Saccharomyces cerevisiae S288C: one gene and its partners. The protein of the gene in region 1 binds, or shares a complex with, the protein of each later gene. Each region holds a gene or a part of one and is shown in the gene's direction. Other genes may lie near its edges. The genes, in order: RSM24, RSM26, MRPS8 and RSM27.

The links.
Region 2: RSM24 (region 1) and RSM26 share a complex: the UniProt entries of both Saccharomyces cerevisiae proteins name them as parts of the mitochondrial small ribosomal subunit.
Region 3: RSM24 (region 1) and MRPS8 share a complex: the UniProt entries of both Saccharomyces cerevisiae proteins name them as parts of the mitochondrial small ribosomal subunit.
Region 4: RSM24 (region 1) and RSM27 share a complex: the UniProt entries of both Saccharomyces cerevisiae proteins name them as parts of the mitochondrial small ribosomal subunit.

What each region holds. Positions count from the first base shown.
Region 1 is NC_001136.10:812,690-816,076, reverse strand, and holds RSM24 (mitochondrial 37S ribosomal protein mS35 RSM24), read left to right. Parts: upstream 1-1,924; coding exon 1,925-2,884; downstream 2,885-3,387. Other genes in the region: histone acetyltransferase NGG1, read right to left, coding at 1-1,625; HMO1 (Hmo1p), read right to left, coding at 3,227-3,387. UniProt on the Saccharomyces cerevisiae protein: Component of the mitochondrial ribosome (mitoribosome), a dedicated translation machinery responsible for the synthesis of mitochondrial genome-encoded proteins, including at least some of the essential transmembrane subunits of the mitochondrial respiratory chain.
Region 2 is NC_001142.9:616,340-619,534, forward strand, and holds RSM26 (mitochondrial 37S ribosomal protein mS42 RSM26), read left to right. Parts: upstream 1-1,894; coding exon 1,895-2,695; downstream 2,696-3,195. Other genes in the region: AIM25 (Aim25p), read right to left, coding at 12-995; ESCRT-II subunit protein VPS25, read right to left, coding at 2,818-3,195. UniProt on the Saccharomyces cerevisiae protein: Component of the mitochondrial ribosome (mitoribosome), a dedicated translation machinery responsible for the synthesis of mitochondrial genome-encoded proteins, including at least some of the essential transmembrane subunits of the mitochondrial respiratory chain.
Region 3 is NC_001145.3:570,678-573,317, forward strand, and holds MRPS8 (mitochondrial 37S ribosomal protein uS8m MRPS8), read left to right. Parts: upstream 1-1,570; coding exon 1,571-2,038; downstream 2,039-2,640. Other genes in the region: TPP1 (polynucleotide 3'-phosphatase), read right to left, coding at 1-339; AIM36 (Aim36p), read right to left, coding at 600-1,367; YMR158C-A (uncharacterized protein), read right to left, coding at 2,517-2,640. UniProt on the Saccharomyces cerevisiae protein: Component of the mitochondrial ribosome (mitoribosome), a dedicated translation machinery responsible for the synthesis of mitochondrial genome-encoded proteins, including at least some of the essential transmembrane subunits of the mitochondrial respiratory chain.
Region 4 is NC_001139.9:920,567-923,102, forward strand, and holds RSM27 (mitochondrial 37S ribosomal protein mS33 RSM27), read left to right. Parts: upstream 1-1,608; coding exon 1,609-1,941; downstream 1,942-2,536. Other genes in the region: 40S ribosomal protein uS2 RPS0A, read left to right, coding at 9-98, 554-1,222; GPI1 (phosphatidylinositol N-acetylglucosaminyltransferase), read right to left, coding at 2,067-2,536. UniProt on the Saccharomyces cerevisiae protein: Component of the mitochondrial ribosome (mitoribosome), a dedicated translation machinery responsible for the synthesis of mitochondrial genome-encoded proteins, including at least some of the essential transmembrane subunits of the mitochondrial respiratory chain.

The sequences.
Region 1 (3,387 bases):
CAATCGGGGTCATCTGAGTTAGGGTTGTTCTCATCCTTAGGCAAATTCATGTATATCCCTACATACTTTAGTTCTCTTTTCAATCGTTCTTCGAATGTTGGATAGTCCAGGTTAATTCCATTTGTTATCCACCCAATTTGTTGGGGTAACGTACTTGTAGTACCGCCATTACTGCCTTTATTTTCTGCCAGTTTTGCTTGGAAAGATGCTTCCTCATCAATGTCATTGTCAGGTGTTTGAACACTGGGCCCGTTCTCCTGAGATAATGTCATGTCTACAGTATCATTGTTGTTGTTTCTAAACGATTGTATATCGTCTTCCCCTCCGGTTCTCGGTAGTCCGCCATCCCGTATTATTTTAGAAGATTGCAATTCTGATTTGTCATTGTCATCTTTTAATACAGCACTCAACAGCCTAGATAATAAGGGCCCACACGATATACTGCCCGATTCCAAAGCATTATCATCAAGTTCGTTGGCACTTTTTTTTGGTAGTATAGTAGATGCATCGTTTGAATATGGTGAAGGTTTTTTATAGGCAGAATTTTTGTCGTTTTCATCTTTGAACCAAACATCTGTGTATAAAGGGCCTAGTTTCGGTATAATAAACGGGTTTACCTCAGGGTCATAAGTTTTGTCAAATTGCAAGCTATCGGGTATAATATATTTCATCTTCAAAAACTTTAAGTTGTCATCACTAAGATCTTTGAAAAAATTTTCCACAAATGCTAGAAAGGTATTGAATTGAATTTGGTTGGTTGGTTTAGGATGCGAAAAGTCCATATCCGGTAATTCACCTGGTAACAGATCTTTCAAATCATTTGTTGGATAACTAGCTACATTGTATTTTTTTTTTAGGAAGTCTTCTCCTGTACTTTCTAGTCCCTCTTCATTGAATAAGCCGAGTGCTGCTGCTGCTCGAGGTAACGTTTGCGATACTACAAATTCTGATTTTGGATTTTTAACAGTTGGATCGTTTTCCATTTTGTCAACGTCAATTTTTTGCTTCTTATTGTCTGGCCTCTGTGTGTTTTCATTTTCAGTGGCCCTATTTTCAGTTTCAGAATCGAACGGCCTCTTTTCTCTGGGTTGATCTCTATGAACTTGTAAATCTTTGTCTTCATTAATTTCTTCTTTAGCCATATTATCAGCCGCTTGTTTGATGCTTTCTACATCGTTCTCAATTGTGCCGGAGATTTCATTAGAAGGAGGAGGTTTTGGTGGGCTTTGTACCCCTTTATCAATTATATTCGTTTCTTCAGTAGCAGTAGAACTTTCGTGCTGCCCGTCTGCATTTGAAGTTTCCTGCTTTTCATCGTTTGCTTGCTTCTCATTTTTACTGTCTCTTATTTTCCGAAGCGCTTCAATGGTCTCTTGATCACCTCGGGCAATTGTACCCAGTATTTCATTGAGACTATCCAATTGACTTTGCAATTCAAGTAAAGTTTTTTTATTGGGTATGGACCTAACACTTTTGCCATTGAGCATTCCAATATCACGCTCGAAGGTCAAATCTAAAGTTTTAAGCATTGACGATAAAAGCTTTGACGGAGTATTGTCGCCTCCCTCCTTTTTAGGAAGTTTCTCGCCTTTTGGCAGTTTTCCTCTTCTTCCATGTCTAGGCATATGTCCTGTCCAATACTTCTCGTCGCTCCGTCTTTGTTATGTTTTTCCAACTTCCTTATTGTAATCGCTACCACGAATATTTCATTTGATGGCGTTCATTTAATGACTGCCTGCCATTGTTTTGTTGTCGTCGGCGAACCTTTATCGCGTTGCACGTCGGAGCTCTTTAATGAGTTCCGCTAAGAAATTACGCTAAATGGGACCTTTTCTGTAACTGATTCTGAGTATATTTCGATCTGTGAACAAGGCAGTAGAGTTACCGAAACATTTGACACTACTAAAATACTATTCTTAGGAAGATGAAAGTACCATTGGGGTTATGGAAAGTCTCTCGGGGTAATTTGTGGAGCACCCAGAAAAGGGTTTTGACAATGTCTAGATGTTTGAACAGTGATGCTGGTAATGAAGCTAAAACTGTGAGAGAAGGACCAGCTTTTTCAGCAGATCTCTATATGCATCCCGAAAAATGGAAGGGTTTACCTCCTCAAAGAATTTTAGAGTTATATTGGGAGAGAATGGCTAGATTGGGTTCAGAGTATAAACCTAACAAAGACGAACTGAATGCCTTATTAACCACTTCTGAGTACTCAAATGTACCTGTTAACGATATTAAAAAGCTATATCACAGAGGAGAACAAGGCGCTATTGATATAAAAGGTGGAAACGTGAATCGCGATAACAGTCTTAGACCGTTTATGTTTGATGAATTGCCATCGCAAGCTCAGGAATTGGTTGCCCAACATCGTGAACAAAGGTTCTATAATCGATTAGCCGCATATGAGTTACCGCTATTAGCTCAATATCGCCAGGAATACAAGAGACCATCTCCAGAAAGTCATCCGGTCACTTATAGATACACTAGTTATGTTGGCGAAGAGCATCCCAATTCGAGGAAGGTTGTATTAAGCGTTAAAACCAAGGAATTGGGCCTGGAGGAAAAATCATTACATAAGTTCAGAATATTAGCCAGGTCGCGTTATGATCATACTACAGATATTTTTAAAATGTCTAGTGACAAATTTGAGCATGCATCACAAAATGCACGTTATTTGCATGATATTCTTCAAAGGCTGTTAGCGGAGTCAAAAGATTTGACGGAGGACGATTTTAGCGATGTTCCCCTTGACACAAGGCATACTATAGCTAAGAGTTTACGTAAAAAGAAGCGGGATTATGAGTTTCCTGAACACTGGAAACGCCCTGAAGATGCACCAAAGAAGAAATTTGATATTGTAGATCAATTATTGAGCACTCTTTAATACATGTTCAAAAACAAAAAGAACGGCCCCCCTGTATATATTATGTATTTGTTTTGCTTCCTTCTTTTTCTCTAAAATGTACATAGTTTTAGCACAATACAACATTGAGAGGTTTGAAAAGGTATAATCGCAAATTTAGAACTATATACATACATATACACAACGAAAATGAAAAGGAAGATATACTGTTACAAGAGGAGAGGGATAGATACATATATATATATATATATGTGCATACACTATGGGCAAAGCAAGCCCATGCTGCTATATTTTATTCCTTTTTTTATTATTATATTTATTTTAGAAAGACAGTAGAGTAATAGTAACGAGTTTGTCCGTCCATCAAATAGAAGAGTTGGATTTGTCCTTCTTCTTATCCTTCTTCTTCTTCTTCTTCTTCTTTTCCGAAGATCCATCATCATCGTGAGGTCTCTTTTCCACAGGAGGTTCAGCGGCGTGCTGTAAACTGAAAGGAATTGGAACCGGCGCATGAGTTGGACCGT
Region 2 (3,195 bases), on another chromosome or scaffold:
ATATAATTCACCTACTCATCATAGCCACCGCCAAAAGAAAGGAAACCTCCAGTTTGTCTGGAATGTCTCGAAAAATAATCGAAATCGATGGACACAGCGTTTGCTAATAACACGGCCCTTTGATCCAAAGTTAGTACTTGAGAACTTAGCATCTCAGTAGGATAAATATTATCAAAGCATCTCTGCGAATCAAATCTAACAACATAAACACCAGTATCGGTAAACATTTCTCTTCCTAAACCAACCCAATTTCTGTCTACACTCGCCATTATCTTACCATCAGCATCTGTTACAGGAAAATCAAATGATAAGAAAGGTGCATCTATCTTACCAAATTGGTCAAAAGTGGATCCTTCTACTCCATCTTTCTGGAATAATTCGTAACGACGCCTCCAGAGATGCCAGTTCTGAATGGTCTCTCCTACTGTCGTTCCTTCTTTACCGTCGTGATAGTGAGTGGAGTCACTGCCATTATCAACATACGCGGAAGGAGGTATGATAGTCTTTATATGAGAATTGATGAACGAAAAGGGCCTTTTAATCGTCATTATTACATTTCCCCAATTATCAAAGACATCTACCAAAAAAGGACGATGTAGACGATAAAACTGCCGCATTATGGCCTTTGTTATAGAAAAATCTCTTTCCATCATTGATGCTATTTTGTTTCCGTTCACATCCATTATGGCATACCTATTAGCCTGCTCGAAACCTAGAAAAACGTTCATAAATTCTATTTGCCTTTCGATAATAACTGTCGGTTCATTAAGTATCGTAGTAGCTATAGGATCATGTACTTTTATTATCCCGCTATTGCTATTTTCTTTAAATGCTTTTACTGATGGCGCCTTCGTTATTTGGTTCTTTTCACGAATTACTCTCCTAAATGGACCGTTTCTGATTACTTTACCAGAAGAAACCGTTAATGTTTTACTCAGTGTACTGAAATTTCTCATACATGATCGGTAAGTTAGAAATATTGCCGTTCTATGCATGTCGGTGTTATCCTTTATGTTTGACCTTTAATCTTCTTTTGTTTTGTCTTTTTTCATTTCGTACTTTTCAAATCCTTATTGCCGGTAGGCTTACAAACTTGAATGAAGTATATAACGAAGTCAATGAAACCTCTCCCATACTAGGTTCGGAACCTGTTAAGGGGAACAAGACCGCGCACTTGTTATGAAAATTCTTCCTATAACTATATTGAAAGCTATTTTTCCACATCGGCAGACAAACGACTGTCCAGACTTAGTAAAGCTCTTGGTCGATTTTGTACATTGCCTTTCCTTTACAGCTCCAAGATATTATATATATTTTTGACAAGGTAATCAATTGCCCCACAAATCTTCCATATAAAAACCTATATATGCTATTAACCGAATGGCAATTCCCTCTATCTCATATCTCACCTCTACAGTAATCCTTCCGTGGTATCTGGTCTATAGAAATGGGTACTGTTTCATTTAAACGTGTTATCACTTGATCCAATGGTTACCATCTGACTTTGGCATCAATCCCTTCTTAAAAAGTAACCAATCAATGATATGCGATTGTTTATGAAGTCCATTCAACAAACAATGGGAGTTTGGCCGAGTGGTTTAAGGCGTCAGATTTAGGTGGATTTAACCTCTAAAATCTCTGATATCTTCGGATGCAAGGGTTCGAATCCCTTAGCTCTCATTATTTTTTGTATTTTTTTTTTTCACTTCCCATCTTTCCAAGAATCTTAGGAGAGGTGCCGCAGTACTTTTTTGGACTGAGCAAGAAGTATCGCAAAGCATGGAAAAGTAAGAAGGGTATAGCAAAAGTCTTTTCACAATAAGAGGATATTTTGCAGGCAAATTTCTGAAGACCACATAATATCGTCTTCTTGGCGCAACTAAGACGCAGAGAAATGCTTGTTTTCAAAAGGGGTATTCACGTAGTACCTAAACTACCAAATTCTAAGGCCCTACTGCAAAATGGAGTGCCTAATATACTCAGTTCTTCGGGATTCAAGACGGTGTGGTTCGACTACCAGCGATATCTATGTGATAAGCTAACGCTGGCGACAGCGGGACAGTCTTTGGAATCATATTATCCATTTCACATATTGCTGAAAACTGCAGGAAATCCATTACAGTCAAACATCTTCAATTTGGCGTCCTCTATCCATAATAACCATTTATTCGTGGAGAACATTCTACCTTCTGCTGTTGAACATGGCACTAACTCGAACGCCGTTGTGAAGACAGAGCCTTCTAGGCTTTTTTTATCCAAAATCAAAGATTCATTCAACGGCAGCGATTGGGAAGTAGTGAAGGAGGAAATGATTTACCGTGCTGAGAATGAAGTCTTGGGACAAGGCTGGTTATTTCTAGTTGAAAACAATGAGAAAAAACTCTTCATATTAACGAGCAATAATAATGGTACGCCGTATTATTTTCCCAGGAACCAGTCATTTGATTTAAACAGTGCGATATCCATCGATGAATTTGCTACCTTGAAACAAATGAAAGAACTGATAGGAAAGTCTACTAAGTTGAATGGTAAGGTTCAAGACTGGACCATGCCTATAATCTGTGTCAATCTGTGGGATCATGCTTATTTACATGATTATGGCGTTGGTAACCGGTCCAAATACGTGAAGAATGTTCTAGATAACTTGAATTGGTCAGTGGTAAATAATAGGATATTCTCTGGTATATCGAAGTAATGAAAAGAAAGGAAGCGATAGCCTCTTACCCTCATATGTAATTATAAAGGTATCGGGTAGAAGGGGATCTACCAAAATCTTATATACTGTAAATAGTTTTATTTTATCCTCTCGCTCGTGTTTTAAACAACCTTAATGGCAATTACTTTATCATTTTCATCTTTCAGCATTGTGGCCCTATTTCTATCGCATAGGGGCTTCAAACAATAATAGAGCAAGCTTTCGGGCATTCTATGGAACTCCCAATTGACTGTTTCATCACCTTCACTCAATTCGTATAACGTAATGACTTGATTCAGTTTTCCAGAGTCTTCGAACCACTGTAGTATCAAAGAAGCCCAACTGTCTAAGCTCTTCCATAATATAAAATATCTCGTAGTGGTGGTATTGCTGCTTCTCCTACCACTTTGGTCAATCGGTAAGCATTTGCCTTCTTTGGTCATTTGCGACCAAATTTCATCAATAAATACCTGTGATACAGATCTTTGGATGTCCTCATT
Region 3 (2,640 bases), on another chromosome or scaffold:
AAATAGCAAAATTTTATTAGTGTACTTGGTGCAACTTTTAGAAGTTCTTGGGACGGTGATGACACCACCTTGGTTAGAAAATATGACTATGACGGCCGTGGGATCATTATCAATGATATTACACAGGTAATCCAGGGTGGATTTCTTGGAGTTAAAATTAATAAACTGCCAATCACTTGCGCTTCTACTAAAACTTATATTGGGGGACTTTGGTTTGATAATTGTATGGTCCAGATCAAAGGCATAAACGTTTAGACCATGCTCGTCGTGATCAATGGATTGTGGAAACTTGGGCGTGAACTTAATCAGAAATGGCAGGATTGTTAATTTGTGGGACATGGGCTTTCCTTCGGTTCAGTTTTCTATGTTATCCATCTGATTTTGGGATGATTTTACAGATTAAAATCGATTTAAAGCCATACGCAAAAGAGGGGAAACGAAAGAAACGCACAGAATTCATTCACATAGATGAAGGGAACAGAAAATGAGAATGTTATATGACAGATAAGCAGCATATTCAGGACATATATCCAGATATATATACATATAAGCTATTAACAAGGAGAAGAAACCAAAAAAAAAAAAAAAAGAAAACATCCTCAGATGATATCAGCTTTACCTACAGTTTCGTAATATTTACAGACGTCAGAGCCACTCAATTTCCTCGGAACAAAGATTTTAGACACTATAGAAACCTCATTTTCAAATCTTGTTGCATCAGCAATCGAATGAGGAAAGTTCACAACTACTAGCTTGTCACCGGTCTTGAAGTTCTCTTTGAAATATCTACCCAAAAGCATGACCAACATACCGGTCGGCAAATTGTAAGCGTACGTGTCACACCCGTATTTTTTGTAGTATTCATTTAATAAAGCCTCATATCTATCATCCCTCAAGGTTCTGTAGTAATCGATGACCTTGACTGGATCGACAAACTGCAGCTCATTTATATCATCGCCTTGTGATTTCTGCAGTACCTTTCTAGTTTCTTCAATGCTGGGTGATAAGGAAAACTTTATATCGACCTCACCTTGTGGGAAGATAGCCACACGTCTTTTCAACCCTTTAACCACATTTTCGAATTCTTCTTCTGATAATGTTGTCTTCGGTTTGTTCTTATCTAAAGACTGTACTGTCTTGACAAATATCACTGTACCGATAATAGCAACAAGGAAAATTTTCTTAAATCCTGGAGCATCTATTTTATCTGATTTGTTAGACCTTTTAGTTGAGCTATCAGTTGATGAGTATCGTGCTCTCAAGAGCAATGGTGAAAATAAGGGTAATTGCTTTTGAGGCAACCCACCGCACACCTTGAAACAATGTCGGCAGCTTGCTAGAACGCTTTTTCTCAGTGGTCGCAACATGTAGGTAGTCTATTTATCTGGGCTCGTTATGTATTAATCTTCCTATGGGGATTCATTCATTTTAGCTTTACCGGCAGTCCTTACAAACCGCTTTTTGAAATTAAATCGACAAACTGAGGAAGAAGAACGGAAAAACAGAAGAAAGCCAAAGGCAAAGAAGCGACCACATACACCTTTTTTTCGATCTAAACTAATCGCCCAAAATGTCGTTGGTCAAACTTGCGAATACGTGTGCTCATTTACAGAACTGCTCGAAAGTTAGAGTTGCCTTAACATCGATCCCATATACGAAATTGCAGCTACAGTTTGCGTATAACCTTTACCAACAAGGGTTCTTATCGTCTTTACAGAAGGGATCGACTATGGGACCAGACAAAGATTTTGTTGAAGTAACACCAGACAATATCTCTACTAGAAGGCTTTGGGTTGGATTGAAGTATAGAGATAACAAACCTGTCCTCAGCAGCTGCAAATTAATTTCCAAACCAAATTCAAGAATACACCTGCCAATGGAAGACATGAAGAAACTATGCTCTGGCGTAACTATTAGAAACATCAAACCACTACAACCAGGAGAACTGATTCTAGTTCGAGCTCATAACAACATTATGGACATTAATGAAGCCATATCCAAAAAGTTGGATGGAGAAGTACTATGCAGAGTAAAATGAATAGAACAATCACATATGACCGTATTTATACGTGTAATTAAAAAATATACGGACCATGTAAATAATAATATTATAAAATGCAGACAATGATGATGAGTATAGTACTACAGTAACGTCCTTCATTCATTACCTTTACTAGCAGTGATAAAAAGTTTTGAAAAAAAATGTGCTCCAGGGGAGGTTCGAACTCTCGACCTTCAGATTATGAGACTGACGCTCTTCCTACTGAGCTACTGAAGCTGTCTGTTATGGAGGATTCTAGCATTAAATGCTTTAATACTCAATAAAAGCAACAATGGAGAATAATTTATCAGCAACTAAATTTATAGACGAAGATCCTACGCCAAATCTTAGCTCCTTTATATTTAATATTGAAAAACATATGAATTTTAGGTTGAATCCTCAAAATGGAATTGATATTTCTACATAATAGTACTACGATTATTCTTCACTCTGTTTTATATGTGTCATTATGTTATTACATTATCAATCCTTGCATTTCAGCTTCGTCTAACTTCCATGACAGTTTCTCATACCTTATGTCATCATCTAACACCGTACATGATAACATACTGGTAGTGTAACTACTAGTTGATAGATGA
Region 4 (2,536 bases), on another chromosome or scaffold:
AGAGCGAAATGTCCTTACCAGCTACTTTTGACTTGACTCCAGAAGATGCCCAACTTTTGTTGGCTGCTAACACTCACTTAGGTGCTAGAAACGTTCAAGTATGTTATACTCATTCCCGATTATATAATAGAGTAATGTGTGATTGAAAACAGTTCGAGTGAAAGAATAGCCACAACCAGGTTTCCCGCCAACCAAACGGAATGCTGGGATAGCATTTTTCAGGCTGAATAAGAAGAGAAATATATGAACAATCATTAAAACAGTTTGAAACTCCAGCTAATTATCAGCGAATATTTTGCCAATAGACTTTCTAATTGTATTATGTTATTAAATTTTAAATCGCTAATGAAAAAAAAAAACAAACCTTTGGTATTAAACCTCTTTCAATGAAATCAATTAATTCCGGTACCTATTCTTCCGACGCTGTTAGCCAACTATAAATGCCATTTTTTCATAGTACATTAATTTGAATCAGTTGATCATTCACAGCATATACCAAGTGTACGTTTTTGAATCTTTTATACTAACTTTTTCTTCTTTAATTTTGTTTCAGGTTCACCAAGAACCATATGTTTTCAACGCAAGACCAGATGGTGTCCACGTTATCAACGTTGGTAAGACCTGGGAAAAATTGGTTTTGGCTGCCAGAATCATCGCTGCCATTCCAAACCCAGAAGACGTTGTTGCCATCTCTTCCAGAACTTTCGGTCAAAGGGCTGTTTTGAAGTTCGCTGCCCACACCGGTGCTACCCCAATCGCCGGTAGATTCACTCCAGGTTCTTTCACCAATTATATCACCCGTTCTTTCAAGGAACCAAGATTAGTTATTGTCACCGACCCAAGATCAGATGCTCAAGCCATCAAGGAAGCTTCTTACGTTAACATCCCTGTCATTGCTCTAACTGATCTTGACTCTCCATCAGAATTCGTCGATGTCGCTATCCCATGTAACAACAGAGGTAAGCACTCCATTGGTTTAATCTGGTACTTATTGGCTAGAGAAGTTTTGAGACTAAGAGGTGCTTTAGTTGACAGAACTCAACCATGGTCCATCATGCCAGATTTGTACTTCTACAGAGACCCTGAAGAAGTTGAACAACAAGTTGCTGAAGAAGCTACCACCGAAGAAGCTGGTGAAGAAGAAGCCAAGGAAGAGGTTACCGAAGAGCAAGCTGAAGCTACTGAATGGGCTGAAGAAAATGCTGACAACGTCGAGTGGTAAGTAAGGTGATATTTACAAATAGTATATTAATAATTATAGTATAATGTTTTATTAGAATAACAGATTTCTTTATCAATTTAGCGGCTAAATAAAAATCAAGAAAAAAGAAATACATTCATTGTGTCATCTTGTCACACATTTAGCCATGTACTTTATTTGCTGAGAAGTTTAATCAATTGAGAGTAGTTAGCTATTGTAGTAAAAATGTGCAAATGAAGTCTTATCAACACGTAGCGTATATAGTGATCTAAAACAGTTAGAAATATAATAAGCGAACTTCTAAACCATTTTAGAGCACATAGCCATGGAGAATAGGTACTTGTTTTGACCCGCTCGACGAAGTGGTACGTAGTGATTGCGTGGATTAGTTTATCATAAGACTTTCAATGAACGTACCAAAGGCGAGACTCCTAAAAGTAGCAGAGTTATCTGCGAAGATATTTGATCAAAATTTCAACCCATCAGGTATAAGAACCGGTTCTAAGATTCTAAATGAGCGATTAAAGGGCCCTTCTGTGGCAAGCTACTACGGCAATCCGGATATCCTGAAGTTCAGACATTTGAAAACATTATATCCTGATATTGAATTTGTAGACCTTGAGGAGCAATATCGATTATCTATGGTAGAAGCAAAGAAACGTCGTGGTAAAGGTGCTCCTAAGAAGATGAAGAAGGATGCAGCTGCAACTGCAAAGGGGAAGGGGAAGAAAAAAAAATGATTGGAGCACCCTTACTAAAAAAAATATTCATTATGTAGAAACTCATTTCATGTACATACAAAATCAAAAATAAAACAACAAATAGCTGAAGCAAGAAAACGCTACTTTACTTATAAAAGAAAACGTTATGCCTGAATAGTCAGCCTTTTGTATAAATCCTTTACACTCAATGGCTTACTAGGCAGTGAAGAATAAAGAACATAGTACAGCTTATTTCTATTGACCATTATAGACTCCCCTCGGACAATCTTTCGTACAGTAGCAAACGAGAAATAATTTGTCCTCATTTGCGACAACAATAGATTGTATGGTCTGAACATACTCTTGAATTTAATAGGATTGTTTTGAAGTTCTAAGGTTGTATGCTTGTTAGAAACCGTGGTTTTGAGCTCAATTGAAATGCCACCGGGTAGACGTTTAGGATCTTTTAACCTAAGTAATAATGCGAACAATGGAAAATGGTTAATGAGTGCAATGACAGCTTCCGAGAATATTTCGATAGTTATTGTTAGCATTCTCAAAACTGTGTATGACATATAGAATGCCATCACTGTGGGAGTCAAGAACACTAGAATAATAAATAATAATGTTCCCA